7 separate regions of the Mus musculus genome follow, and regions 2, 3, 4, 5, 6 and 7 are each reported to be linked to region 1. The links are microRNA targets in miRTarBase. Many come from high-throughput screens and were not tested one by one. Region 1 holds a microRNA gene; each other region holds the end of a gene's coding sequence.
The links. The annotated mature microRNA mmu-miR-223-3p reads UGUCAGUUUGUCAAAUACCCCA and lies in region 1 at 2,237-2,258, opposite strand. An mRNA with a match to its seed (bases 2 to 7 or 8) in the 3' UTR can be bound and repressed. Matches are read on the target gene's strand: a 7mer-m8 pairs with bases 2 to 8, a 7mer-A1 pairs with bases 2 to 7 and ends in A, and an 8mer does both.

Region 1 (4,303 bases):
TTTATGCATATAAATGGGAAGAGTAAGAGATTATTTCTTAATTGATGGAACGGGGTGGGGGGAATGAAGAAAAGTGTAGGGAACAGGAGGGTAGGGGAAAGGAAAGAAGGAACTCTATGTACTTTGGAATGAAACTCCCTTGTAAAGAAATTGTTTGGGGCCACGTTTGCATTGCTTCCTTTCCCCCCATTTATTTCATGTCGAATCAACTTCCTAAATTTTCATGGGAACTACCATGTTGCCTATGTAGTCTGCATATGCACAGGATCAGATCAGGTTTCAACAAGAGGTACTCCCACTTTGAAATGACTGCAAAAGTCAAAATAGTACACAAAAGTGATTGACAGTCTGCCCTATTTTACCCCCACTGATGCTGCCAAGTCTATGACCAAAATCTCAGCATTTTCTTCTTTGACAAATGCTAGCTATGCATAATTAGTGTCAGAGATGACTTCTTCTTCTCCATCTCACTTACCAGCCTCCACAACCTGGGTACCACCCAGTAGAAACCTCAGCTTCCTTCATGAAACATCTGTGAGTCCAGCCCTGAAAGCCTTGAAAACACCCTTTATCTCATTCTGCTCTTTAGAATTAATCCCTGGGCTTGAAGAGAGAATGTTTATTGAAATTGCCCTAGTAAAGTGAGCCACAAATTCAGGGAACCCCCAACACTGGAACCACCAGGAATGTCTCCTATTCTTGCATGTGAAAATGTTTACAGATTACTTATCTGAACATTCACATACCACAAATTGGGAAGTGAAGCCCAGAGAGAAATGAAGGTTTGTCAAAAGTAACATACATCAAGTCAATGGCAGAACAAAGACTGGAGGTTAGACCTGTGGATTTTTAGCAGTGTGTGTACTTTGCTGCAGACATCTTCTGAAGATGGTCTTTGTCCCTAAACAATGGTATTTTTCCATGCAGGGTAAGCCAGTAAGTCATCCCTAGATAGAGATGCATCCCTCCGACAATTCTGAGCAAAATTGGGGTAACAATATGGGTCTTGTTATTTAGGTCACTGGTTAGTGGGTGAAAAGTTAAAGAATGAAAGTAGGTATCTCCAGAACCAAGGGAGAGTATGGAATTTCTCCAGAACCAAGGGAGAGTATGGAATTTCTCTAAAGAAGCTTGCCAAAATATATGTTATGAAATGTTAGACTCTGGAGAGAGGGATTGGAGATGCTTCATTTTATAGTTCTATATTAGAAGTTCACCCCAGTGCAATGATAGAATATTAAAGGCTCAGAAAATTCTGTTTAAAAAGACACGTGTAAACCAATAATTCAAAAAATTTTTCCCTCTGAGTCTATTCTTTCTTCTTGCCCTCCTGCCCCAGACCTAAATCTTATTTCTCAGAGGAAAAAAAAATCCATTTTGGTTACCATCTTGTATACACTATAGCATTAGAATACCCACAGTTTGATTTATTTTTTTCGCAAAACCCTGGTTGGTATTTGACCTATATAGCAAAAGGTTATTGACTAGTAAAACATCAATTAATTGGTAAATATTTATTAATAATTAAAATGTTGGACAATGGTATGAGAGACAGCAATCAACTGAATATAATAAGCTCTAGATTCTTACAATATAATAGGGAATTCAAGAACATACCCTGGAAAAATTCACTGACAACTTTAGAAGATGTGTTGGATGGTAGGACATATAATAGCACATACCAGTATGTGGTTAGCCAAGGAGTAAAGAAAAGTATAGGTTAACTTTCAATAGTGCCAAGAGGAATTGGAATTTGGTAGTGTCTGAAAGCCCAATGAAGATAAACAAGAAGGTTCTTTTAAGAATGATAAAAGCAAAGTGGAAAAGAGAAAATGTAGGTAGCTTAAGATGTGCTCCGAAGGCCAGACAGTGGATATTTATTTCCTACTTTCTCATAGAATTCATGATGCTTGTATGAAAATTCTGCTATTCTGGCTGCAAGAAGAGGAAAGTGAAAGAAGACATTAATAATAAATCAAATAATACTCTCATTCCCTGTATCCCTCATGTACCACTATGCAGTCCATGGCATTTTCACAATGTACACAGATGCATACCAGACTTGTAGACCCCAGAGCTGCATCGTTCCTACTCTGATGTTCTCTGAATAAATGTTATAGTTCCCTTAAAGACATAGAATAACACCAGAGAGCTTCATGTTTCATAAGCATTCATATGTAGGCAGCAGGCTATGTGCTCTGTCCTGGACCTGGAGCTGATAGGCATGAGCCACACTTGGGGTATTTGACAAACTGACACTCTACCACACAGAGTGTCCAACTCAGCTTGTCAAATACACGGAGCGTGACACTGCAGATGGCCAGATCAGGAACCTCCACTGGGCAGCAAGAACATGCTGGAAGATGTGCAACTGGAAAGAGAAAAAAATAGGGTGATTATATCTTACCCTAAGTGTGAGACAAATGGCAGACACTAACATGACTGACTAAGACACACCAAAAGAGGGAAGTGAACAAAACACGCTAATGCTCCAAACAAAAACGGGGATCCTGGGTGTTTGTCTGGAGATTCTGGTGGCCCAAGCCTCAATTAACTCTTCTATTCAGCTGAAACAGGAAAAAATTGTCATCATTCTGTCCTCGGGGACAATTTATGTGTTCCTTCCTCCTATCAACTTCTTGTATGCTCTGTTTACCCTGGTTATGTACCTAGATGTTGATTTTTAAAACTGGATTTGAATTCTACCTCTACCATTAACTAGCTGAACACCTTAAATAAATGAGTTTATGTCCCTGAAACCTACTTCTTCCATAGCCACAAAAATGCCCATGAAATCATGGCAAGAATATGTAATAATGCATATAAAGCCATTAATTTAGTGTTTGTTACCTAACAAATACTCAAAAATTGTGGCTATAGCCAGGTATGATAGTACATGTGTGCATACAAGCTTTCATAGACAGAGATAGGAGAACCTCAGATTTAAAGTCAATTTGGGCTATATAATACTACCCTTTCTCAAACAAAAAAGTAAACAATCAAGATCTAGAGATAAAACTCAGTAGCAGAACACTTACCTAACTTGTACAATACTCTGTATTTGATCCCCTGTACATAAATAAAAGTGACTAAAATGTGCTTTAAAATTAAACATATAAGATAGATACTAACAGGGGAAAAGATAGATAATTTATTTAACAGAATTGAAACAGTAATTTCTTGTGGCCTTAGCCGGCTTTGTCTAACTTGGTTGCCTTTTCTCATAAGCAGTAAAGAATTAATGATATTAAAATGCCCTTATAAGTCATCTAGTTTTACCCATTCAAGATTATAAATGAGAAAATGAAGTCTGATGTTTAGGGAAAGACTTCCAAAAGGTCATAAAACAAGTTGTTTACAGTTTGGGAATTATATCATCCATCAGCTCATTGTGTCCCTTGGCTGTCCACCCCACCACTTTTTCTTGTCTGCTTTTTATATTCCCTTGCAAAAGGGAGAGCAACAGCAACAAAGAGCAAAACAGGCAGTGGATTTTGCAGGGAAGTATTAAGATGTTTGAACTCATAGCTACCAGGGCAGCTGCCAGAAGAGCCAAGCCATCTCAATTTATTTGATATTTTGTTTAGCATCATGATCCTGTTATTCAAAATGCTTGATAGTATCAAATTTTGTCCTACCCAGGTTTAAAGTTTTCTTGGGCATCAATTGTCTTCTCTAGAAATAGAGACAGAAATCTTACATCTCAAGGTCTTGAAAAATGTTGGATGAGACTTCTAGAGCTTTTTAGAAGGGAGCTTAAAGAGACCTTATTTCCAACTCTGGAGCTAGTAAAAGCCAAGGAAAGTGATTAAAAGAGAAAGGAGTAATGGGTTATTGGTTTTGGTTTTCTTGACAGCATCTCTGCTTATCATCTGCTGTAAGGAGAGCTAGACACTTTAGAGATATCCATAGCCTCTCAATTGCCCTATCCGACCTCACATAACCCAAGAACACTGGAAAAGAGCCATGAAAGGGGCTAAAGAGTTCTAGTGCACTGACTTAATAGATTATTATAAATACTGTTTTCCAGGATTGATGGAGAAGTCAGTCCTTAAGCTGGGTAAGGGACTATTTCATTTTCATTCTTGATGTTCCAGTTCACACCTATTCAGAGGAATACATATAAGAGAAGCAAGTTTAGTTGATTAAAGTTAGTCAGACCCATAAGAATGAAGACATAGATGACTACATAGTCAGTCTTCATGACGCAAATTGAAAGGCATAAGCTTGGTAAAAGAGGTATAAGATTTTACCAAAAATCTATAAATGTCCAGAATAAGCCACATATCAGAAAATATATTTG
Region 2 (4,303 bases), not on the chromosome of region 1:
ACCAGACCTGTTAAAGTTTGCCTTTTGGTGATGATAATGCTCTCTGTAGCTCAGGCTAATCCCTCAGATGCAGTTTCAGACTAGGGAAACAGTGTTTGGCATAGGGCAGGCTTCTCATCTCCACATTCTCTGATGACCGTCCTCCTGACAGAAGCTCCCAGCCTCTGCCTTTTCTTACTCTCCAGATCCAAACAATGGAATACTACAATCAGACAGCACAAAAGTACCACACAAGTTTTTCCTACTACATTTTGGGTTATTTCACTGAAAGTTATTTGTTGTCCCACTGTGCTCACATGACAATAAAAACAACTTTTGCTATATTTATTTTATGGTGATTGTGTGAAATGACTATATTTTGAAAAATCTTTGGCATTAAAATACATTCACAATGAAGAATTATCAAAATGAATGGACTGTCTGTCCAGAGTGTTTGAACTGTGGGAAACTGGAACAGTAAGTTATACTTATTTGTGGAGGTATGTGGTTTCTAATCTGAAATCTGTTTCAGTTTGTTCCACACGAGAGGCCATGGAAAATACCATCTCAATAAAGCTTATGCTTTCAAAAGCACTGCAAGTTGAAACTTTTGATTTATTTATTATTTTTATTACTGGCTTTTTCTTTCTACCAAAGGTCAAATGGCATGGGGAATATGCCTAGTTAAAAATATTTATTGATTGATTGTCAAATGAAAAAGTTCTGAAAATATCTACAACCATTCCCATTCGAGACTGGAATTTTCAAATCTTGTACTTAAAAAAAAAAAAAAAAGCTAGGTATTGTGAAATATGCCTGCAGTCCCGTATACTTCAGAGCCTGGAGACAGGGGAATCACTCAAGTGTAGTAATTTAGGACTAGCTTGGGAATTATAATCTGATCTCTTCCTTAAACAAACAAAAAATAAACAAACAAAAATCCACCCAACAACAAACAAAAAAATCCCTAGTAAAATTTGTCTTTATCTTTCTGTGCATTGACAGATACTTCCTATCTCACTAATTCCGTACAGTTTCTTCCAACATCCATCCGTCCGTCCGTCCATTCATCTATTTATCCATCCATCTTGCTCAAGCTGTATAACAGATGCTGGAATCTGCAGAGAGGGGAGAGAGAGAGAGAGAGAGAGAGAGAGAGAGAGAGAGAGAGAGAGAGAGAGAGAGAGAGGCACAGGATCTTCACTTGTGCTTTTCATAATCTAACTGAAAAAGTTAAAATTATCAAACAATTATGAAAAATGAGAAATACCTTTATTAAGTATTAAATTACAGAACCCATTGCTGTGACAACATCTAAAACGAGATGTGGTCTAGGTAGGAGATCAGAGTCCACTTCCCTGGGGAAGTGGCAATTGCATTGATAGGTGTGTGGTGAGCAAGAGCTAAAATTACACTGCGGAGAGGAACCATTAGACAGAAAGATTCCCTGGGGCTGAGGGACATAGCATCTTCAAGCAAATGGAAGGCGGCCAGCAATGCTGGTGCAGGGGATTGTGTACCAGGTTGGAACGTAAGAGGAAGTCAGCCCTGTGGGGTTATGCTATATTAGGAATGCTGCTTTCATCTTAATGTTCAGGAGAGCCGTCAGCGGTTGGTAAGTGACAGGAGGCAAGATCAGGTTTGTGTGTTGAAAGCATCACTAGCGTTAAGAAGGAACTATATAAGGTGTAGGAGGTAGCAGAGAGTGGTGGGTTAACTGCAGGCATGGTGGCATCTTCTATCAGACTGGGGACTGAGGAAAAGCTGCACAGAGTGTGAGGTAAATGGAACTTAATGGCAAAGGAGATTTGTTAGGCAAAGCCTTTATGAATTAAGCGCTATAGAGACCTGGCATATTTGTCATATTTCCATCACAGTATCACTGTTTCAATGAATTCAGAACTCACTTATGCCAACGGTATTTATTTTATTCTGTACCTGTTATATGTCATTCTGGCTTCTGGTGATACAGAAATGAGCCAGGTTGTCCCTCCTGTACTTGTGCTTGTTCCAGACATCTGGTTAAAGGTGTGAATTAGGGTAGTCATAAAGACTATTTCTTTTGGCAAATAGATAAAAAGTTACCCATTTAGTATGTTCCAATTCTCAAGTCCCCATTATTGTGTATATTAGGGAGATGGGTAGAGAGGTATCCAGGGAGGGCCCAGGGACACAAAGCGATGGGATGTCATTGAGTTAAGGTCTTCCAATTTCAAGCTGAGGGTGCCCCCCATCTCCTCCCATTTACTAAAACTTCCAGATATAGAAAATTTGCTTCAGAAAGGGAATTCCTCCAAATTAGCCAGAATGAAGGCTTTTCTCAGCTAGAACATATTCCTGCATTTAGTGCAAGCAAAGCACTTGCTTTCTTCTTCAGTGTTACCCAGAGTAGCACAGATTATTAGCCAAATGAAGGCAGGAGGTGCAGGAAACTTGGGGTTTTCGTATTGCCCCATCACAGAAGAAAGAACTGACCAGGTTCTTGCCCATGCCAGGTGTCTGGAACCAAGCATACGCCAGGCAGGCCCACATTTACACGAACCTTTTCCTTTTCTTAGGCTGTTTGGCCCTGTAACTTTACTTACTAATATTTAGCTGGTCCTTAACACACAGGTCAATGCTCTTTTTTTCTTTTTCTTTTATTAAATAACACATTTGACTTTCACAATGAGTGGTTCTAGGAATGTGGTCTGATGTTTTTAAGACTACATAATGTCTATAGGTTTAAGGAGAACATCTTCCTCGAAGCAAGCATTTCCCACTTCTCAGCTGTTGATTTCTCAGTGGGCAGGTACAACAATTGATCCACACTGATACCTCTTTGCTAGAAAGTTCTTTTCTCTGATAGCTGACATATTTCCAGTTACTGAAATCAAACAACAGAACCACATCGGGACTTCCAAATGTTCAATGACATTATTTAGCAAAATAAATTTATTAAAAGTATTCAAAAACCACTTCAAAGTTTAGCTGCCCGCAAGACAGTTTTTGGCACTCGTAACAGACGCTGGTTCTACAGCACGGCACAGCATTCGGTCCATCACACACACCATTTAACAACTCAAACATACTTCTCAGTTTCAGTGATACGTGACACACTAGTACTAATGATCTGTAGTCCTAAGAACGTCAACACCCTTGCACACAGTAAACATTGTAATGTTACTTAGTACTAAAATATTAAAACTAGAACTAACACCACTATGTGGTAACATGGACTAGTTTAGGGAAGGTGTACAGCCAACTAGCTAAGGCCACATAATCCCAGACCTATTGATTTTAAATGCTCCAACAACATTGCATCGGATCTTTCATCTCAAACTCTGCTTTCCCGACAAGGAGGAAGAACACATTCAGAGGCCTGTTCCCTCCCTCTGTTCTTCACACAGTGAGGGAAGCCGTTCTCACACAGAGCCTCTCCTAGGTTGCTGACTTCCTGATTCACTACCCAACATTGAATCAATAGTTCTGAGCGATGTTTTCCTAACACTCAGGCTGAATTCAAGGTCAGTTTTTTTTTTTTTTCTGGCAGGTCACAGCCTTTGCTCTTGGGAGACAGAATGGAATGTCCTTTGTGTGTGGGGGGACTCCTGGTCTCATGTAGCATGGGGCTCCGTGGTGATCTGTGGCTTTTTACATAAGTCCTGGTAGAATTCGGACTCCAAGAACCGAGGATAAGAATTGTTCTCCATCAAACTGTACACCCTCTTCTGAGCTGTGGTGAAGCAGCCACTTGTAGCCTCTTGGATATTTTGGGCAATCAGAGATTTCGTTTGGAAGTCTATGTTTATCTGAAAGAACAAAACAAAAGTCCATTTATTGGCTAGTCAACACTGCAGATTGATGCTTAATAATAAAACATAAAGGTGTAACTTGTGATCAGTTATAACTGTCAACTTTGGAGAAACTTAAATGTTAGGACAGCTGGGATGAGAGGCGCACAGGGCTCTTCTCACTTGTGCTTGAATGTGGTGTATTCAAGTCTCAGGTTTCAACAGTGTTGAAGGTGATCTGAGGCGCCTGTCTTCTTACCTCTTTGGGAGCTTCCTTCTCTATGAAGTCGGTATAGATTTTCCTTGCTTTTGAGGACAGTTTTTGGGGTGATTTGGTTTTTTTGAAGTCTTCACAAGCCAACCAGAATTCAATGTTTTCTTCACAGAACTCGGACTTTAAAAACGCCCTGAATGCAGCCAGCCCATCTGGAAGCACAGGAAAAGCAGCATGAATGGAACGACCGAATTATACACAGTTCTTCTGCACAAAATGATCAGTTTCCTAGACTTCATTCAAGCCTGTCATTCTCTAGGTCTGGCTCTTTAAGCAC
Region 3 (4,303 bases), not on the chromosome of region 1:
GCAATTGATAATTAAGATGGATGGAAATAAAATAACAGAGAAATGCCACCGATTGTCCCATCTCATGATCTTTTCATAATTTAGCAAGTCTTAATTTAGTAAGGCAATAAAACAGAGTGTATCCCCCATACCCATTATGCCCCTCCAAGCAGAGTGTATCCCCCATATCCGTGATGCCCCTCCAAGCAGAGTGTATCCCCCATAGCTGTTACAATCCTCCAAGCAGAGTGTATCCCCCATAGCTGTTACACTCCTCCAAGCAGAGTGTATCCCCCATAGCTGTTACACTCCTCCAAGCAGAGTGTATCCCCCATACCCGTGATGCTCCTCCAAGCAGTGTGTATCTCCCATATCTGTAATGCCCCTCCAAGTAGAGTGTATCCCCCATAGCTGCAATGTCTCTCCAAGCAAAGGGAGGTTGTTGAGTGAGGAAAATTAGGATTCCTCATAAGTAAAAAGATAATCAAATAATAGGAGACCTTCCCATGTATTCAGAGGCATTAATCTCTGGGTGTGTATACAGGTGCCAGTATCTCACCTGGAATGTGCATTAATTTTGAATTAAACTCAACATCCTCCCAATTTATAAGATACCTCTTGACATGCACAATTAGGAATGAGGATCTTCCAGAAAGCAAGAAAGCATCTTCTGTCCCCCATATTGAGGAGGACACACTCCCAGAGTGTGGCTGGTAAGCTTCTCTGTTCTACCCCACCCCTAACTCACTCTCTCTCTCTCTCTCTCTCTCTCTCTCTCTCTCTCTCTGGCTTTTATTTCAGAATTATGTTCTTTACCCTCTGGTGAGGTGTCTCAGTGTTTATACTCCACCAGCTGATTTTGAAACTCTTGCATAAGTCAAGGTGACGTTTCAGTCCCACGATGGCTGAATGAGGAATGCAGCAGGAGTTTCTCAACAGTCAAGACGTCAGTCAAACATTCAATGCCGAGGCCGCAGCTGGAGAGCCATGCCCACGCCCTTGGCTGTTGGCTGAGAACCTCAGATCCTCTAGTCATAGGTCTCTGTTCAGAACTGAGATGTACTCACACACCTGCCCTTCCTAAAGAATATATCAAAGAGGGTTTGACCATAAAATTCAGTTATAGAGTAGCTCGCCTTGCATGTGTCAATCATAGATTCTATCTACAGCAGCGCATGGGTCTATCTACATGGAGCATGGGTCCCCAAATTCCAGTTTTCAGAGTCACTTGAGACTTCCAAAAGGCTTTGATGATGGCAATTCATCACCCACAGGGGTCTGGGTGACTGCATGCCTGCACACCAATGGCTTCAACGCCTATCTCAGAATTGGATCCTCTTACAAATGTGAGTCTTTTGTCTGTGTGGAGGTGCCAACCTTTCCCAGAGTGGGTCTTGCTGGTAAGGGAGTGTGAGAACATGCATCTTGAGGTATGTGAGAATGTGCGTCTTGCGGTGTATGAGAACGTGCGTCTCGAGGTGTGTGGGAATGTGCGTCTCGAGGTGAGTGGGAACGTGCGTCTCGAGGTGAGTGGGAATGCCCTAAGGAGAAGTGGAGGATTTGCATTTACCTCTCCTTTGTGACCAGGGCAATGCTGTTAACACCATCTTAATGAGCCCCTACCTCTCCCTTAATCTCTTAAAGCCCTCAAGAGAGAAAATTTTCAAAAGGCAAATCTGCTTCACCCTTCTGACACTTGGCCTGTCTGACCTGAGGGATCCTGGGAACACAAAACGTGGTATGAATCGACAGAGGTGTTAAAAAAGACCGACCGACCCTACAATAATGAGCCAAAGCACAGTTACCTTATAGCTTGCATATTTATTGAACAAATCCTACTAAAATAGCTAAAATACATTGGGTACTTATGAGAGGACCACGTTACAAAAGCCTGCATTTTCGGCAGCGCACACTGCAATTCTACATAATGCCACAAATGCACAATACCGTTTCCTTGCTTTATTTACATAGCTGATATACCTACCCTAACAGAGGTGGGGGTAGCGAGAATGCACAAGAAACTCAAGCCAGAGGGGAAGCGAGAGAAAGAGTGAAGAGGGACAGTGCATGCATCATTGGTGTTTAACAGTCAGAAGCGCAAACAGTTCAGAACAAGGCCTGCCCTGTCAAAGGAAGAGCCAAAGACGTTATATAAAAATTAAGGTGGGCTTTCAGTCTGGCTAACACAACAACATTCTGTGAGGAGATGGCATTGTCAGATTTTATTTTTGTTTATCCATTTCATTGGGAGCAAGGACAAAAATGTAAAATCTACACCTTGCTTATCAAAACCACCCCAAAAAGGTATTTTGCCTTTCACCACCATCACCATCATCACCACCACCACCAACAACAACAACAACATCGTCATCACTATCATAGTCATCACCTTCATCATCACTATTTTGTAAAGACATTTTTCCAATTTCAACTTTGGGAAAGGGATAATTTTCAAATTCCTACTCAAATGCCAGCACTTTGGATTTTTTTTCCCACATGGCACTTATTAAAAGAGTGGACTTTTATCCCCCCTCCCCCAATATCTAGTCAAACAAAAAGAATCCAAAGAGATAACCTCAGAACGCCTGGAAAAAAATTATTGCTTTTCTTTTTCTAAGTCAGGCAGGTGAGGCTGCAGAAAGGAAGAGATCTGGTAGGTCAATTACAGTTTTGTGATTGCTCCCGCTACCGTGACTGCACATCCACCAGGGCCAGTCACGAGAGGACAGCCTCTCACACTCTTGGTAGCATCCACTCAACCTACAACCCTGAAGAAGAAAGCCACACTCAAGACACAAGGGAAACAAGTCAGTCCAGTCTAGAGAAGAACATTCCAGGAAACAAAGTACCGACACCTTCTTAGAACATGGAAATAAAAACAACTCCACCAGAGCTACCTCGCCAAGGAGCATGTTGAAAGTCCAAAATAGCACCATTCATCAGTGTCTCAGGCCCTGTGGCAGCGTCTCAGTCACTTACCACAAGGAAACAATGAGTTTCAAACTACTTCTATACATCAAAAGAGTACATGGGTAAAATATAGATATACAGACAATTGATGAACATAAACTACTAGGCTTGTTACATCTAAATGAAGAAAAAAAAAAACCGTGGGGGGGACTCTCAGCCTCTGCAAGAAGCAGTCGGGAGCTGTCTGATGAAAGGCAGGAGTGGACCAGTCATCTGAGCGCAGTAGGAGTTTTGAGTTGTGGAAGACATTGTTGTAGCGAACCAGGCCTGAAGGCCCACCTGTAGGGGTTGTAAACGTGGATTCACAGTGTGAAATTCTGAGCGTTTTCACTTGAGTCAGAATGATTAAAAACTGGTTTGATGAAACCTATTTGTCCACTGTAAATTCTCTAAAGCCAGGCTTAGAGTCCCATAGTTTCTTCTTATAGTTGATGATTTACACAGAAAAAAAAAAAATCCCATATATGATACCAAGACCTCATCAAAACCCCATACACCATATGCAATACAAATGGAGGTGGGACGATTAAAAAGGGTGGAGGTAACTGGTAGCTGGAGAGGTGAATTCACGGCTGCCTGGCGGAGTCAGCGAGGCAGCGCCAGTCTCCTCCATCTTCTTTCGGTTCACTTCCTTAGGCACGGGAAGTCTTCCCTGCAGGAGAAGACAGACAAACAGACACACACACAAACATATACTTAGTCACACTTTTAAAACCATCTTTAACGGTTTTTGCTTCTCTACCGCTTTCTTGTCCTGGAACTTTTTCTATTGTGCAAACAGTTTATATATTAACAGTATTCTCCTGAACGTAAAGACTTATTTTATGTGTATGAGTGTCTGCCTGCATGCCCATGTGTGTACAACATGTGGGCCTGGTGTTCATGGAGCACAGAAGAGGGCATTGGATCCCTGGATCCAGATGGCTGTGAACCACCATGTGAGTGCTAGGAGCTGAACCCAGGTCCTCTGCAAGAATAGACAGTGTTCTTAACCTTAACCACTGAGCCATCTCTCTAAACCCATATAAGTATGTGTGTGTATGTATTTTTAATTTCAATGGGTGATGTGATGGAGGGTTGACAGTATATTTTCTATTACACAATAAGAATACTTTAAAATATAGCACAATACTTAAATCTTTTCAATGTAAGCCTTACTCTAAAAGCAATTAGCACACTTCATCCAAGTGCTGACAGTCAGGACTAAAACGGTACCCAAGATGGAAGTGTTTGAGAGATACACGGTATAAAAGGATCTCAGATAGCAGCTACAGGAAAGAGGAGGAGAGTGAGAAACCACATTCAGAGGCTCCCGAGACTCTGTAAGTCCCTCCTTCCTCAGCGGATGGCTGAC
Region 4 (4,303 bases), not on the chromosome of region 1:
TGAATAGATGTGACATGCGATGGGGTTTCTGAATTGTGTCTCCTTGAGTTCCACCATCAAGTTCAGTTCAATGAAGGTCTGCCAAAGAGATAGAAGAGACATTTCTTCTTGTTATACCCATCCCCACACTGAACATCCTGAGCACATGGGTCTGGTTCCAGATTTAGTCATGTTGGTCTTCATTTTCTTAGCACAGGTGCAGCAGTGAACAGCAGTGAGAGTCTCCCTCCATCCTCGTCTGTCAACGACATCTCCTCCATGTCCACCGACCAGACCCTCGCATCTGACACTGACAGCAGCCTGGAGGCCTCGGCGGGACCGTTGGGTTGTTGCAGGTGACTAGCCGCCTGCCTGCGAAACCCAGCGTTCTTCAGGAGATGACGCGATAGAACACAGCACACATGCACACACACAGCTTGCTCTCACACACACTCAGCTTGCTCACACACACACACACACATACACACAAACACACACTGTCTCTCTCTCACACACACACACTGTCACAACGCACTCACGAAAGGTCAAGAAAAAAATAACAATAGAGAGATCCAACATAAAATTAAGTTAAATTTTTCTGCGTGCTTCTCCAAAGTTCTGTATCACAGCTGAGCTGAAATGTATACTTAACTTCTAGTTGCGCTCGCTTTGGTTTCCCTCCAGCAGTGCTTACTACACAAGACAAATCAGACACAATTAGAGAAACCTTTCCCTAAAGTGTAACTTAAGTGGCTGCAGAACCAGCAACCTGTAACTGCCCTTCAAATGGCATGAGGAGGTGGGCACGGGTCCCGCCCAGCATGTGTGTGTCTCTATCTCGCGTCTACCTGCTCTTCCGGCCTAGTCAGATGGATGTAGATACAGATCCCGCATGTGTCTGTATTCAAACAGCACTTAGAGATGCTCCTGTCAGTGTCCTCCAGGCTCCACCAAGACACACACCGGGGTACCACATGGTCCATTTCATGTGATCTATTACTCTGACATAAATCCATCTGTAATATATTGCCAGTATATAAGCTGTTTAGTTTGTTAATTGATTAAGCTGTATGTCTTATAAGAGACTATGTAAAGGGGGAAAATGGAGGCGTGAACTCTCAGACCCTTGAAGATGTAGCTTCCGAATTTGAACCGATTAAATGGCACCTGTATACCAATTTGTAGAAAGAACATATGTGATGCTTAAATCCAGGGTGGGGGGAGGGAGGGAGCAATAGCTTTCAGGTTCTAAATAGGGTTGTCCTTTAGATGGAAGATGTGAGTCAAAGCCAAGGGCGCTCTCTCTGGAAGTCAGTGAGTAGCAGGGACCAGAGCGTATTGCTGCAGTATAGACTGAACGGAAGGAAACCACTGCCCAGGGGCCGGGGGATGGCGCATCTGTGTTCTAAACATTGGACACTATTGTTTATTTTTAAAATTACGGTCAAAAGAGCAAGTTGCTGAAGGAAGGGACAGGCGTCAAGACAGGATCATTGTGCACAAATCCCGGGTGGTAAAAGCCCTTTCCCGAGACACAGTGGAGAGACCTTCATGTGACTGACTTTAGAGAAGATTGATGGAGATTATAGGGCATGTTTCCCATGTGTGAGCTGCTTCCCAGAGTCCTCCCCTGCTGATATTTTATTCCCTCTTCTGGAATTGGATAACATAATTAAAATAAAATCCCCAAAGCACACAGAGAGATCTTCAGGATAGCATCTCCAAGCATCTTCATGGGCTGTGTTTTCCCTCAGAGGGATTTCCCAGGCCCCTTGGTATGACTGGTGTTTCATACTTATTGATGTATTTTCATAGATGTGTGTAATCTGAGAAGGGCTGATAACCTGACTTTTGTACTGCAGTAGATACACGAGAGCAATAACGCCGTGCCAACGTAGCTCCTACTAGCTAGCATTAGCAGCGACTTTGTCCTAAAGCCATGAAACGTTTGTGTGTTTAGTGAAATCATCTGAATTTAGCTCAAATCCCCGAGAGATCCTATCTGAGCACTCAGAGAGGCACTGTGAAACATCGTGGTTATATACAAGGCAATGCCTGTGTGGCTTCTGAGCAATAACAGGCCAGGCCTGGCTTCCCTTCTTCCTCCCTTGGGTGAAGCATCCACTACAGTTATTTGCACTCTGGCCACTTTGGTGCTCACCCCTGTGGTGATATTTCACCTGAGGAAAAGTGGAACGTGTGAGCAGATGAAGGTAATGGGCCTGGCAGATGGGAAAGCCTTGACTACAGAGGAAACAGCAATGCCGGGGCTCTGCAAACTGCCTTAAACCCAACAGCGTGGAAGATCTTCTCTCTTCAAGCAATAGTCAGTCAGAAGCCTCAGACCCATCCCCAACTCCTGCCACCACCACATCCCTCCATTCCCAACAAATACACACACACACACACACACACACACACACTACATACAGACAACACACTGCTGTGTGGCCATTCCTGGGATTGCTTCCCACAGCACGGTTCATTGCAAGACGTGATATTGAAAAGGGAGAGAAGAGAAGTGGTGGGCGGGAGCTAGCTAGCTACCTTCAGATCTTAGAGGGTGCAGCTCATTCCCCTGGATAAAGATATCCGTCTGTAGCTGGATCTTTTGGTTAATGTTGTGGACAAAGTGATCTTTATAAACACTGATTCATTTTCATGATCTCTCTCCCTTTCCCATCTACCTTCGTTCTTTTTTTTTTTCTATTTCTTAACTTACCTGTATTCTCTTCTTTTTCTGTAGTTTGCTTTTATGAGTGTGATCTCTGCACTCCCTCACCCTATATCACACCAGATTAATGCCCAGACAACTGCTTGATAGAAACAAGTTTCAAGGGGGAATTCCATAATAATCAAGATGGTGACAGACAGGCAGGGCTCTCAGCGGAATGGCGGATGTGCTTAACAGTCAGGATCCTACTGACAAGTGCTGACCATTTCTACTGGGTAGATGAAAGCAGGCAAATCAGATTACCTCGTCTTCCCCTCCTTCAGGTTAGCCTGGGTACCAGTAGCACGTCTCCTAGTGGCCGGCACCCTTGGACAGAGATCCCCCATGGACAAGAAAATAGGAAGCAAATCTCTTGGGTTTTAAATAGCACATTGAGGGAAAGATGAACATTTAGCTCCTGGATCTCATGAAGGATTGGTTTTTAGCTAAGCCAGGGATGGATGGAGGAGAAACAACCCTGAGGGTCAATGTCAAAACATTCCCATTGAGACCCCCAATGCTCTGAGAATGTTCACAGTATACATTATGCCCTCTAGTGGGTCTTGCTAGGAAAAAAAAAAACCCAGTATTTATTTTATGTAATATCGGTTACACACAAGAGTGTTCTTGTTTTGGGGGCAGAGAACTGTTCTGAGACCTGGACTGTGTTTGTGGAAGATTCAAAGGAGCTTCATGTATTCATTTTGCAACAGAAGGTTGGCATAGTGAGGACTTACAAATCTGTCCCTTCAGTAGGCAACCTTGGTCCTTAATATGTTCCATGGTGTTCTGTAGAAAGGGAGAGGGTGTATTTTTTTGCTGGTTAGGGAGTGTTTGGTGGGTCAGTGTGATCATTTTTTCCAATGGGATACATTGACCTTATAGCCCAATTTTTTTCTTGTGCAATAAAGATGGAAACTAATACTTCATCTCTCAGAATCCATCATTAGAGCTTCATAGGTCTTTATCCCAGGGCTGGACTAGGATGTAGCCAAGTCTTAGCAGTTGGAGGAAACATGCTCACTTGATGGCTCAGTGGTAGCGTGGCTGGCTTCTCTCAGTCAGTTATCACTACCAGAACGAGTATCATATAAAGGCACCGATAACAGCTGACCAGTAGATGAGAGAGACTTGGTCATGGAGCATAGAACAAACTGAATGCATGAACAAGACATCATTCTGTGATCTGTTAGGGCAAAGACTAACTGGTCTCATTCTACAGCTCTTAAGTATTTACCACAGAGGCCAGGTTATACAAAATCTACTGCTGTTCCGTTTTCTTAGCAAATAAGAACGTACTGTGTTCTGTAAAGAATTTTGTTAATTAACTTTGCTGGGAAAGATAATGTTTATGATCCAGAGAGAGCAGAGAAGTCTTTGGGGGGTGTGGATTTTGATCCCAGCTTCTTTGGGTCTGAAGAGCAATCCTCTCACCACTCCAACACTCCTGCCCTCATGGATACGTGCACATGTTAACTTCAAGAGTCCACTGTCTTCCACGTGTAGCCTTAGAAATGGCACTAACTAAACAAACTAAAAATGGAGAATGTAAACAACCAAATCAGTCATTTTCCTTGCGACTAAAATATAAACGGTATCTCCTCTTTGGGC
Region 5 (4,303 bases), not on the chromosome of region 1:
TTCAGAGCGACATGTACCAGGCTATGGGAACAACAGTCCGTTGGAGAGAGATGTGGGCTCCACTGGACGGACATGTATCTATAGTCTTGGCTTCTGTTTTCATTCCCAGGCCAGTTGGAAATTAGATAAAAGTGCTGGCCACAGTCTAGTGTTGCATCATGGATGTAGACATACTTGCATGGTTATAAAAATCAGGATGCCTGGCCTGGTTTAGATTTTGAAAGACATTTGTGTTACTGTAGTTGAGATCCTGGAGGGATGTCATCGATTGCTGAGATATTTTAAAGGGCAGACTATGAGAGTATTTTGGCCACATGGTCATTTATGGAGCCACTGGTTCTGCCTGTCAAAGGAACGGGTCCTTAGCAAGGCTGGTGATTGACATATATTGCTCCCCACCCGGCTTCAGAATGCAGCCCAGTCTCAGCGGGCTGATCCAGCTGCAGGCTTTGAGCTCTCTAACTACAAGTTCAATGTGCTGTGCTCTGAAGCAAAGTTTTCTGGGCCTTTATAAGTAGTTATGTCCAGGGCCATGGCCTACATTTTGAGAAACTTCCTGCTGTTGGTTTTTACTCCACTGTGTGTCAGGAGCTGTTCTATCATTTAGACAAGGCTGAGAGTGCTGTAGAGTGATGGCTGCCACCGATGTTCCCTGTGTTCTTAAGTCACTCAAAGCGTGCCTCTCACCCTTGTTCAGAATGCAAAGTTCTCCTGTCTACCTGTCCGTCCGTCCATCTGTCTGCCTGCCTGCCTGCCTGTCTGTCAGTGTCTGCCTGCTGGCCTGCCTGTCTCTGTTTTTATCTCTGTGTCTGTCAGTGTGTGTGTGTGTGTGTGTGTGTGTGTGTGTGTGTGTGTGTGTGTGCACGGGAGTACGCTTCAGGAGCAACTTCAGCTGTCATTGTCAGGAGCTTCTGTGCCGCTGGTGTTCTGATTTTCCTCCACACATGCCCCATGAGCAAGGCCTGGCTTCTCAGGATCTGGTGGGGAAGCAGACTGTCACTGAAGCAAATATCAGGAACTAGCAAGAGTTACCGTCCGAGATGAGGTAATGGGGCTTTAGGCTGTTACGTCCTAATGTGCTCATTCAGGTCATTACCCAGGCATTAGCATCCACATCCTCTTCTGTGGAGCTCACTTCACAGACTCTCTTTTGATACTTCAAATCTTACTTCCCACACCACACTCCTTCCTTCTGTCTCCCCTCGCATTCTTCAGAGGCTCTAGAGAAAGGTGCAAGAGCTAAGCGCAGAGGAGGGAGGGAGGGGCAGGAGGAAGAAGCAGTGTTCTGTGGACTCACAGACTGATCTTCTTTCTCCTTTGGTTGACCTACCTAAAGTATGGCTTGGGGGGTGCTGGCCTCCAGACTTCCTCCCTTACCAGGGAGCAGATGTGTCTAGGAGATTGCACTGGCAGTTGTGCCATGTGTCTCACCACGTGCTGGGTCATCCCCATTAGCCTCCAAAAGCATTCTGGAAGCTTTTGCAGCCTCATCCTGCGATAGAAGAGCAGTTGAGTAAAATGAGGGAGATGTGGGCAGGCTGGGTGTGGCCATGCTCGGGGACTGTCCTCCTCACACTGAATTCCTGGAGGTTAGCAATAAAACAGGCTGGGCTTTCTTGGTACTGGGAGGGCCTCTACACCTTAACACCACAGCCTATTTACTGTTGATTCTGGTCAATTTCAATTGGGCCTAAGTCCTGTATGTGCAGCTCCAAATGATGGCCTCAGCAGTCACGGGACCTACATGATCCTACATCACAGCTGCAACTTATCACTCCAAACCAAGGATATGGAAAGGGAGGCCAAGGAGGGCTTCTGAAATAACTCCAGTACGCTTGCTCTCAACACTGACTTGATCAAGAGGGAGAGGGAAGAGGTAAGGAGAGAGAGGATGACCTTGAGGGCTAACCGGATCTCTAGCAGCCAGTGGCAAAGCTACCACTTTTTATACTGAGCTGATCCCTGCTGGAAACCAGCTGGAAGGTGCATTCTGCAGAAATGCAGGGGTCTAAGTGGTCCAAGGCAGGACAGGGTCTTTACCCTTTGTTTCTGCCACTCATGTCTGGGCTGGGAGGACCCAAAAGTGATGGATTGCTTGCTGGGCGTGGTGGTTCATAAATGTAATCTCAGCACTTGGGAGGCTGATAAAGCAGGAGAATCGCTGAGTTTGAGACTTGTGTGGGCTACATAATATATTCTATGCCAGCCTGAGTTGCTGAGTGAGATTGTTTCAAGAAAACAAAGTCCCCAGAAATCATAGTGATGGCCTCTATGCTCCTGGAGACCCAAGGAGGCCTCAGATGATCACCAAGCAATGTGCAGAACTCAAGCATAACCAGACGCTTCTTCAGTTAATAACTCCCCTGCCTCAGACAGTGCAGCGAGGGCACGCCTCGGGAGGCCACAGGGGCTGTATAGAGAGGAACATGGCTCTGTTCTGATGTTCTGGGTCTGTCTGGGGACCAGGAGGCGGCTTCTGGCACCTACAATGTTCCTAGCACCAGGTGCTTGGTGATGTGGTCCTGGGAGGCCATCTGGTGCAGGGGAAAGACCACTGGAAAGGGAATCAGGACCACTTTGCCTAGCTCTGCAGCAAACCATCGTAGTCATCGTGGCTACGCCGACAACAAGGTTGGAGTGGAACTTTTTCTGGAAGAAATTCCAAAAGGCTTCAGTAGCTCCTAAAGAAACCACACACCCTGTTTTTAAAGGATCTCCCACTATAAACTGAGTGACCTACTAACTCCTCTTTCAGAGCAGGTAGGATGCTGAGCCATCACTGTGTCTTCTGATCCTGTGACAGGGAGCCATCCACTTTCTCTGGGTTCCCATCTAGCCTTAAGGATGAAAAAGAACAGATTCTGTGTGAGGTCAGACAGGCACAATCCTCCTGCGTCCCTCTCCCCTGGGAACACAAGCTCTCTCCTCTGGATTCCTGCTGTTGGCTCTGTGGGTTTTCCTCTGTCCTGTTCTGAAAGGTCCCACTTGTTGCATAGGGTCTAGCTTCTTTCTATTGACATCAAGGTCACCATGAGGGCCAGCTGTGATGGGGGCCTTTGTCAGCCTACCCCCAGCAGGGATGGCATTAGTTAGCTTCAGGTGAGTAGTGGGCTCCCAGGCTGGGCTTCCCTATTTCTGTTTGCAAAACCACCATTAAAAAGTATTGCCTCTTGTGTTGCTGAGGTCCGACTATAATGTATGCATTTGATGAAGGTGAGTCAAGGCCTAGAAGAGGGCCTCTGCCCAAAGGCAAGCAAAATACTAATAAGACTGCAAAAACAAGCCACACAGACATCTCACTTGGTACCGGCGACAGGGGAGCAGGCATATGGTGGATGTAGTGATGCCTTGTCTGTCTAGAGGGCCCGTGTTGAGGAACCTAGGGGCTCCCAAGGCTACCATTCAGTCAGACAGCATTGGAATGTCATGGTCAAGGAGGGGGGAATGGCTGTAGATCATCAGTTCCTGCATCTTTAGGAAGCATATTTCCGTTGGGAACCAAGGCTGAGAAGGAGGGAACCAGAGAAAGGCTCCAGTGATCGAGTCTTCTTGCCTGCCTGCCTGTCTTCCAGCCTGGATAGGGGCTAGTCAGAGAAGAGACTGGCGAAGGACTTCCTCAGGTTGCGGATTGTCTCAGCCTTGGCCTCATCTTCACTTGGGGTCCCTCGATGGGAGGTATCTGATGTGCTGAGGCTGTTAGTCAGGGACTGAGATTTGCTGAAACAGAAAGCAAAAAGTTTGGGATGGTCAAGGCTGGAGCTCCCAAGGAAATGAGTCTGGGGCTGGCCCTGAAGCCTGCTGGCTGAGCACGGGGTCATTAAAAGATGGTGAGACCAGAAATCAGGCATTGCAGTGTGAACATGATGCTAGCCTAGAACTTGCAAGGTGCGTAGTATTGCCCTTCTTAGGTACAGAAATTGGGGTTCCTAGGGACAAGTATTTGGCTTAGATAGGCCTTCTAGCAAGAAGCAGGGAGCATGCACTGCTTATAAGCGTCCCTCCATCCCAGGTTGCTCTGTGTTTTGTGGGGCATGTCAGCCACAGTTGGATAGGCCAGACTCCAGTTTTCCCCTCAGATTTCCCAGAATTGGCTGAGAAGTCAGGCAGTTCCTGTTCTAGAGCTCTTGTCTCAGTTGAGGGTCCGTGGCAGTCCAGATCAGAGGTGTCCCTGAGCATGTCTGTGGAGAAGTGCCTTGCTTGTTGATAGATGCAGGAGGGTCCAGCCTCTGTAAGCAGCATCATTCACTGGACAGGTGGTTTTGGGCTGTGTGAGAAAGCTAGCTAAGCATGCGTCAGGGAGCAC
Region 6 (4,000 bases), not on the chromosome of region 1:
CTTTTCTGTTGTTGATTGAATTGAAACAGTGGTATCTTCTACATGACTGCCATGGACTTTTATTCATGCCCCATTTACTTTTCTTTCTAGATTGTGAGTACTCAGTAGCACAGCCTTTATCCTATATTTATCTCCTATTTTCCACGTTCATTTCATTAGACAGTTTTATTTCTGTAAGTTTATGGCTTTCACACCACAAAAGAAGAGACAGAAATTAGAAACCTGCTTAAACATTCCATTATCTGCCTTCTCCTCAGTTAACGGTAAATTTGAACATACAGTGTTCCTGAACTTAGCCCTCCACTTTTCTATGAACAAATGTTTAAAAAGAAAAATAGCCCAAAATTGGAGCAATATTCTTTGCAAATGTCTTTGCAAATATTCATGGTGGAAAATGTCATAAAATACATAACATCTTGACCAGCTTATGTGGGGTGAAATACATTTTTATCGAAACATTTTAGTGAAGAACTTTCAACAGATTTTAAATTTAGAACAAAGAAACTAGGACCCGAATGAACACCACACACACACACACACACACACACACACACACACACACACAAACACACCACAATCACACCACATACACACAATGCAACAGCACTATGAAGGCAACAAGAAGATGCACACACACACAAACAACTCACTAACATCACATACACACAATGCGATAGCATTGTGAAGGCAACAAGAAGACACACACACATACACAGAGGGAACCAATGTCATAAAGCTATATGTAATTCCTTTGAATAAGTTGCATAAATATGGTCAAATTTTGAGACATGAACACACCAATCATTTTCATATAAATGTTTTATTGCAGAGAAGTTATAGTTATTTACATGCTGCAACACATCACAACATAAATTACCAGGTATTCCATGGTGGGATGCTGTAGATTTAGATAATAGTTTTAGAAGAACCACAGGTTAAGTGAAGAGACTTACAGCTTTGTTGACTCTACAACTCTTGACTGCTAAGTGCTAGAAGTCAAAGGCAGTGTGTTGTCAGTCCTACCTATCACCACTCGCATGCAGAAACCTAGGAAGCAAATACAAGACAACTGTCGGGATTCAATCCGTATTGCCACCGAAGTTTACGAGAGGTCAAGTCATAATTTATGTTGTAAAGCATTTAATTCTTGCATAAAATATACACTTCTATTAAGACAGATATAAATCTACTTATTTATAAACCCTGGCTTAAAACAACAACAGGGTGCAGCCTGCACATGCATTGAAAGGACAACCTAGCAAATGTTTGTGAGACCTTCACACTGTATGCACTTTCTATTGTTCTCAGCCAGGGAAAAGAGCTTCCAGAATGACAGAGTTCAATTTCTTTTGGTGATAAGTTATGAAAATGAAGCTCTAGGAAAGAACCTAGCTATTTGTGCTGATTTGTGGCGGTGGAGAGTAATCTATGGGGGGCAGGGGCAGACTGTCACTATGGTATAATTTGGCAAATCTTCTGTGAGCCACACATCAAGCAGGGTCACCCTGAAGTGCAGTGAAGTCAGTGACAGTTGCCTGCTTAATTCTGAGGCAAATCTAGTGCTAACAGCTCTCAGACACAAGTGAAACAAGTACGCAAGTCTACAAACTCTAAGCCAAGTTCACAAATGCTCCTCAAAATAGAATTCTAAAGTCACAAAGTAGATAGGCTTTGATTGGAAGGGTGGGGATGATAGGGATTAATGAAGGCAGCAGTTAGCAATAAAATCTCTATAGATTTCCAAACCTAGCCCACCAACCTGAGTAATGAATGAAGCAAGCAAATGGGTATGCCCAGCTCTGCCAACTCCTCAAGTGCTTGCTTTCTCCTGAATACAAAAGTAAACACTGAGCAAAGTTTGATGATAGACACAAAGCATAAGCACAGCCTTATATCCACCTTCTGATTCCTTCTCCCCTCCTGCATCATCCTAGCAAATTCTTTTTGTTGCTCACCAAAGGTAAAACAGTTCCTATGGATGGAAATGTCTTCGTCACATAAGCAGTTGTTTAGTATTTATGATGGGAGAAAATCAAGCCTGGGCTGTAGTTTTAAGTGATAGATCTTTAAATGAAATGTGCCTGGATTTTAGAGTCTTATTTCGGCATTGCAATCCTTAGAGCTAAGTCAGAAGCTCAGGATGTTTATGCTAGAGATCAGCATGGAATGCAGCAAGTTCTAGAAGATATGCTTTGATGTATGCACACCAATCTTAGGCTTTGCATTTTGAGCTAGGTGGCTTGCAAGGACAGTTTGAAGGACTTGTAAGTTCTGGTACTGGGGAGTGTAAAGAGCCTGTACCACCTATGGGCTTTGAGTAAATCAAGTTATAAAATCTCTTTGGGATTTGAGCCCAGCAAATTCTGTACCTAGATGAAGCAATGAATAAAAGTTTATGAGAATAAATAGTTTAAGGTAATTTAAAATATATTTTCAGTATGCATAATAAAAATATATCCATACAATGATCTTGATGCTATCATTAATTTTTCTCTTTATAAAAATAATCCCTGGAGCTATTAGGAGCGACCTTTCTGTATTTGTCATGAAAGGCAATTTCCTGGACCTGCAGTATGCACTCGTTGTTAAGGCGCTCCTAGAGTTGGCCTCTTCTGTTGGTAACAATGTACAGCATAGTTTCCTCATTCGGCTTCTTCCTTAGGAAATGCTAATGTGAAATACTGAAAGAGTCATTGGGTTGATTTAGCTCTGACTTGGAACAAACAATGGATAAGTTGTCCTTAACTTACTGAGACATATGACTAAACAGGACCACTTCATCTCCGAGATTAATAAAGCTTCAGAGTCCCTACAAGAAGTGTAGAATAAGCAACTCAACTTATATTTAAAAATTAAGACATTACAACAAGCCATGGTGGGAAACAAAAGAGTCAGACCCAACTTCACTATATAAACCACAGCCCAAACTAAAAGTTTTCATCTTAACTGTTATGGCTTCCTAAGCCAGAGAAAGCTTACTGTACTCCAAGACTCAACCACACTTGGTAGATGATAGCAGGTATTTGGTAGGTTGCAATGACAATTGAGTAGCTGCAGATTGCATAAATGTGTTGTGTCATATAATATCAAAGTTATTTGCAAAAATTATACAATCTGGAATGCTTGAATACAAGACACAACAATGTACTGGAACAGATTTTAAGAAAATGAGAGCAATCGTGTATATAAAAGGTATCAGGGTGCATTAAGTTAGCAGTGCTACCAAGGTTAAATAGGTAATGAAGGTTGGCTTTTCAGTCAGCTACTTAGAATCACAGTCACATTTATCTAAGTTTTCCCATCTTAAAATCCATGCGTCTGTCTTCCATGCCTCCTGGTGAATCTTGCTTGGTACCATTCAATCCCATGTGTAAAGACAGACAGGGCAATGTCCCTTAAACAGGCGGAAATGCTAAGCTGTCCTCCAGTGTTGATCTGGCTTTTCATGGCAGAGTCAGCCTTCCTTCTTATGATGCATAATTGCCTTTTTCTGGCCTTCTCCAGCCCTTGCCTTCACCTTACTGCACTATGTGCCATGTTTCCCTAGGCTAACAAAGATGCCTTGGTAACTTGTGATTTTCAGATCTATTTTTATCAAACTCGGGATTACCCCTTTCTTCCCAGGGTGGTCCACTTTGAAAGTGTCCCAGACTTCCTATTTCTGAGGCCCTGGTATCTTATTTGCACTTAAAGCAGAGGAGGCAGGTAAAGTTACGCTTCTTTCAGCATTTGGTTGTTCTAGGGGCTCGAACTCCCAGGGACACACTTCGGCTCGTGATGTTAAGGGCTGATGGGAGTTATTACTTGAGTTACAGGAGCCAGGAATGATATCCACAGAGGAAGATGTCTGTTTCTCCTGGTCTCCCATTTGGTTGAGATTTTCATTCTCTACTTTTGGTGCTACGACTTTGTGGGGCAGTTCTTCATATTGCCCAGCACACATATTGGTTGTGTAGAGCTGGCTTCCATTCTCCTCTCTGGCTCTCCCTGGGAGAACTGG
Region 7 (4,303 bases), not on the chromosome of region 1:
CTCTCCCTCCCTTCTAGGGCTAGCCCTGCTGGGCTTCCTGGTGTTGGTGCCAATGACCATGCCCTGGAGTCAGCTGGGCAAGGATGGCTGGCTAGGAGGTACACACTGTGTGGCTTGCCTGGTGCCCCCTGCAGCCTCTGTGCTGTATCACCTCTTCATGTGCCACCAAGGAGGCAGTCCTGTGTACACCCGGCTCCTTGCCTTGGATATGTGTGGAGTCTGCCTTGTCAACACCCTTGGTGAGCCAGGGCCCCAGAGAGGTGGCGGCAGGGGCCACTGGTGGGAGCTGTGGGTTGGGAAGATCAGCTAATTTGGACTTAAACCCTTTCTCTCCTCTCCTCTCCTCTCCCCCCACCTCTCTCCCTCCCTCTCTCTGCAGGAGCCCTGCCCATCATCCACTGCACTCTGGCCTGCAGACCGTGGCTTCGCCCAGCTGCCCTGATGGGTTACACTGCACTGTCAGGTGTAGCCGGCTGGAGAGCTCTCACTGCCCCCTCCACCAGTGCCCGGCTTCGAGCCTTTGGTTGGCAAGCTGGGGCCCGCCTGCTGGTGTTTGGGGCCCGTGGAGTGGGGCTGGGCTCAGGGGCTCCAGGCTCTCTGCCCTGCTACCTGCGCATGGACGCACTGGCTCTGCTTGGAGGGCTGGTGAATGTGGCACGCCTGCCAGAGCGGTGGGGGCCTGGTCGCTTCGACTACTGGGGCAACTCCCACCAGATCATGCACTTGCTGAGTGTGGGCTCCATCCTCCAGCTCCATGCTGGGGTTGTGCCTGACCTGCTCTGGGCTGCACACCATGCCTGTCCCCCAGACTGAGCTGCCTCCTAGCTGCCAAACTGGCTTGCCCACAGCTTCCTGGACAAATTCCACCACCTTTCCTCCTACTGGTCTGCAAGGGGCTGGTTCCCTGGAAGAACCAGCACATGGGACTTCCTAGCTGGGAGACCATTCTTCATTCTTCCCCATGGATTCACTTCTTGCATCCAGGCCTTCAAACCCCAGCTTCCACTTTCCTTGCCATCTTCCCTCCTGGGCATTGTTTTGCTGTCATTAGAAGGAAACCATTTTTTTTTTTCCCAATTTACCCTGTTTAACCTGTGAGAGTCTCTGACAGTTGAGTCCTGCCAACTTACCAAGCCTCCAGCCCAGAACCACTACCCCTATGTTGCTGCTCCCATACATAACTACACCTCCTGCTCCTGGATTCTTGAGCTAGCCACTCTGACCCTGCTTCCTGACCTCCATCTCCCTGCTCTGCATGTCAAACCTCTCAGCAGCCAGAATTTTGCTGTTCCTGTCATTCCTGCAGTGAGGATGCAGAGGAGTGGGACCAGGCTTCTCTCAGAGCCAAGTGGACATTGGTCCTGCTTGTATCATCTGGCCAGGAGACAGGAGGGGAACTGCTGCTTTTCCTAGGCAACAGGCACAGCTGTGGAATGGAGGTGTTGGATTCGGGCTTCACTGGACCAAGGACTCAGCTCTTCAGTGCCATGGTCTGACTGACCTGCCTACCAGAGACTTGTCTGCTCAGGAAATCTCTATACAGTGGGTGGCTCCAGCCTGCTGGCCCAAGGGTACTGACTCGCAGCCAGATCATCCCAAAGGCCCAAGACCCTAGGCAACATCAATAAAGGGACAAGAAGAGCTATGCTGCCACATGAGCAACCTTGGGTGTTCCCAAGACGCATTACTTTTTATTAGACACGGAAGTTTCAGGGGAGAGGTGGGCAAGACGGTCAGAGGTTTAAAAGCACCAAGGCTGGCTGGGCCTGTGCTCAGGCTGGGTCTAGGGAGTCCTCAAACAGGCTGAGGAGGTTCCTTGGCTCAAAGGTGGGGCAGGGACCTCTTGGAGGCTCTGAGTCCACATCAGTTAGGTCCAGGGCATCCCTTGGGGGAGGAAGAAGAAGAAGAAGAAAAAAAGAATAAGACACTGGATCCTAAAGAAAACCGTGCCCAAGCCTAGACCCCGGGCTTGCTCACCTAGGTATGTACCTGCCCCGAGGGGTAGAGGTTCTTCTAGTGATCCGGGACAGGACGGTCTCTGGGGAGAGTGAGGGACTACAAGAAAGAGGACAAGCAGGGTGGTGACGGTTGGGCAAAGTAGGATATAAACAGCCCTGCTCCTCCTTGTTTCAGGCCTCTGCTTGGTGAAGGGACAAGGCACACTTGAAATAAACACTGGCAGCTGACAAGTTCTCCCGCCTGACCACATTCATGGGTTAACTCTGTCCCTTTTCAGGTCCAACTGAGCTGGGTGTGGAGTTTTGGTAAATGAAGCTTCTCTAGCATTTAGAACGAGCCGTCAGAGTGAGGGGATATTTCTATAATGGGAGGCATCCTGAGAGCATAAGGTTCCTCCTTGCAGCCGTTTCTTAATTATACACTCTTTCCCTTGGCTAGCAGACACCTGGGAGCAAGGGAATCCTCTCAGGACAGGGACTTACCAGGTGCTGGGAGGTGTCCACTCAGTGGAAGACAGCACTTTATCTCTGAACAGGGACAGCCTCTACAGAGGTGGGGACTGCAGTTGTGCACTGAATGTCACAGCTGCCTACACAGACCACCATCTACCTCTACACTGGCAGTCTTTGTCCCCTGAGTGTGACAGGGGCCCCGAGACCCCTCGCATTGACCACAATGATGTACACACACACCACCCACCCTATGCTGTCATTATCCCAGCTGCTGGAGAGGGTGCTGTCCAGGAGGGGGCTGCAAGGTGGAGAGCCAGGTGGTGTGGCCGGTGGGCCTGGAGGCTGCAGCCAACTGGCAGGATGCACCAGCCCGTGCCAGAGCCAGCAGAGCAGAGTGACCAGGGCCTAAAGAAAGAATGAGCCTCAGAAACCAAGCCTTGTGATGAATCACAGCACTTGGGAGGCTGAGGTAGGAATATGATGAGTTCAAGGACAACAGTAATCTATACAGTAAGTTCAGAAGTGAGCCTCAGGAGGCCAGGAAGGTCACCTGGGCAAGGAACGGGTAGGGTAGCCCAGCACCATAAAGGCTTACCTGCCACAGGGCCCAGCCTCGACTTAGGGCTTCCGCAGCCATATACCACAGAACATTCCAGGGACGTGGCTGCCTCAGCATGGGTAAGGCCAACAGGGCCTCAGCTGTGGCTCGAAGCTGGGGGTCAGGCTCCAGCATCATGGCGAGGACAGAACGCAGCTCAGAAGACAGACCTGCCGATGAGGCAGGGCCATGTCGGGGCAGGGTACTGACTGGGCCCTTAGTCCAATGGTGCCCCCTACTACTCACCACCCCTTGCCAGAAGCTGGTGATAGTTGGCTCTTCTTCTGAACCACTCACCAGCAGTGAACTCAGGGGGCAAGTATCCCTGGCGCAGCTGCTGCCAGCCCTCCCCACCATGGGGCAGTTCCATGTTACAGGCCACTTCCAAGATGGTGAGACCCAGACTAGGAAGGACAGGACGCGAAGACAAAAAGAGGCAGAGTCAGCTTTGTGACACACATCCCAATCCTATCCAGCATTCTGGTGGGAAAGGGCCGTTCTCTTCTACCATAAACCATAAAGTTAGTGAGAAAGGGGTAAGGAGCTTTGAGGAGAGCCCTGGAGGGCCAGTGAGCACCAGTCAAGATGGACACCTTGAAGTATGGACTCCACACTCAAGCAGCTAGCCCATCAGAACCACACTGACATGCAAATGGTTCCATGGTTACTAGGGTTGGCATCATCATTCTGTAGAGATGAACAGAATACACTGAGGCAGGGTAGTAGTAGCCAGTATGGTCTCAAAACCCTGGGTCTGGCTGTAGTCCCAGATGTTAACTGTGGACTTAACAAGTCCCTCCACCTCATTACTCTCCCTGTCCTGGAGCACAGCCATGAAGCTGCAAGGAGACGGCTAGCCTACAGTATAAAGGGCCTCTGGCAGGCTTGCTGCTTACTCTGGAAACCTTTCAGCTAGCAGGGAGTGACAGCACCTCCCAGGCTGGATTGCCCTCCTACCCTGTGCCAGGAAGGAGCTCCTCTATCAGGCAGTCCCTTTCTGTCTGCTGATCAGCCACCAACAAAGGGCTCTTACAGTCCTCACCCAGGCCTCACCTGAACACATCTGCTGCTGTCCCATAAGAGCCCTGCAGCAGTTCTGGGGCCATGTAGCGAGGATCTCCCTCCTGGGCCTCGCCAGCACCGGCTGAACCCAGCTCCACCAGTAGTCCAAAGTCGCCCAGCTTGCAGCGGCCCCGGGGGCCCAAGAAGATGTTGGCAGGCTTGACATCAAGGTGAACTAGGCCTTGACTATGTAGATGGTCCAGAGCCAGAAGAATGTCCCGCAAGTAGCCCC

Region 2: the mRNA of Rgs2 is a reported target of mmu-miR-223-3p. Seed matches in the 3' UTR shown: 7mer-m8 at 3,486-3,492.
Region 3: miRTarBase lists Nrep as a target of mmu-miR-223-3p. The part of its 3' UTR that is shown has no 7-base or 8-base seed match.
Region 4: the mRNA of Mapk10 is a reported target of mmu-miR-223-3p. Seed matches in the 3' UTR shown: 7mer-A1 at 2,901-2,907.
Region 5: miRTarBase lists Syn3 as a target of mmu-miR-223-3p. Seed matches in the 3' UTR shown: 7mer-A1 at 811-817 and 7mer-A1 at 761-767.
Region 6: miRTarBase lists Gpr158 as a target of mmu-miR-223-3p. Seed matches in the 3' UTR shown: 7mer-A1 at 1,012-1,018.
Region 7: the mRNA of Paqr4 is a reported target of mmu-miR-223-3p. The part of its 3' UTR that is shown has no 7-base or 8-base seed match.

The regions. Positions count from the first base shown.
Region 1 is chrX:96,240,839-96,245,141 of GRCm38, reverse strand. Mir223 (microRNA 223) reads right to left here and starts at 2,325; the gene lies at 2,216-2,325. It overlaps F630028O10Rik (RIKEN cDNA F630028O10 gene), which reads right to left. Exons shown (of 3, transcript NR_030718.1): 3 at 1,500-4,104.
Region 2 is chr1:143,998,105-144,002,407 of GRCm38, forward strand. It overlaps Rgs2 (regulator of G-protein signaling 2), which reads right to left. Exons shown (of 5, transcript NM_009061.4): 4 at 4,012-4,178; 5 at 1,234-3,770. The coding sequence ends at 3,576. Gm41964 (a long non-coding RNA gene) reads left to right here. Exons shown (of 4, transcript XR_878589.2): 4 at 1-567. Among named protein-coding and RNA genes, the nearest start is that of Rgs2, 3.9 kb to the right of the region's middle.
Region 3 is chr18:33,435,239-33,439,541 of GRCm38, forward strand. It overlaps Nrep (neuronal regeneration related protein), which reads right to left. Exons shown (of 4, transcript NM_053078.4): 4 at 1,781-3,601. The coding sequence ends at 3,476. Among named protein-coding and RNA genes, the nearest start is that of Nrep, 26 kb to the right of the region's middle.
Region 4 is chr5:102,909,221-102,913,523 of GRCm38, reverse strand. It overlaps Mapk10 (mitogen-activated protein kinase 10), which reads left to right. Exons shown (of 14, transcript NM_001081567.2): 14 at 197-4,303. The coding sequence ends at 339. Among named protein-coding and RNA genes, the nearest start is that of Gm30396, 280 kb to the right of the region's middle.
Region 5 is chr10:86,051,948-86,056,250 of GRCm38, forward strand. Syn3 (synapsin III) reads right to left here. Exons shown (of 14, transcript NM_013722.3): 14 at 1-3,717. The coding sequence ends at 3,585. Among named protein-coding and RNA genes, the nearest start is that of Gm51812, 15 kb to the right of the region's middle.
Region 6 is chr2:21,827,349-21,831,348 of GRCm38, reverse strand. It overlaps Gpr158 (G protein-coupled receptor 158), which reads right to left. Exons shown (of 11, transcript NM_001004761.1): 11 at 805-4,000. The coding sequence ends at 3,656. Among named protein-coding and RNA genes, the nearest start is that of Gm39766, 13 kb to the right of the region's middle.
Region 7 is chr17:23,734,076-23,738,378 of GRCm38, reverse strand. Paqr4 (progestin and adipoQ receptor family member IV) reads left to right here. Exons shown (of 3, transcript NM_023824.3): 2 at 18-239; 3 at 380-2,193. The coding sequence ends at 813. It overlaps Pkmyt1 (protein kinase, membrane associated tyrosine/threonine 1), which reads right to left. Exons shown (of 8, transcript NM_023058.3): 3 at 4,063-4,303; 4 at 3,307-3,413; 5 at 3,007-3,179; 6 at 2,659-2,816; 7 at 1,978-2,055; 8 at 1,650-1,884. The coding sequence ends at 1,773. Among named protein-coding and RNA genes, the nearest start is that of Paqr4, 4.1 kb to the left of the region's middle.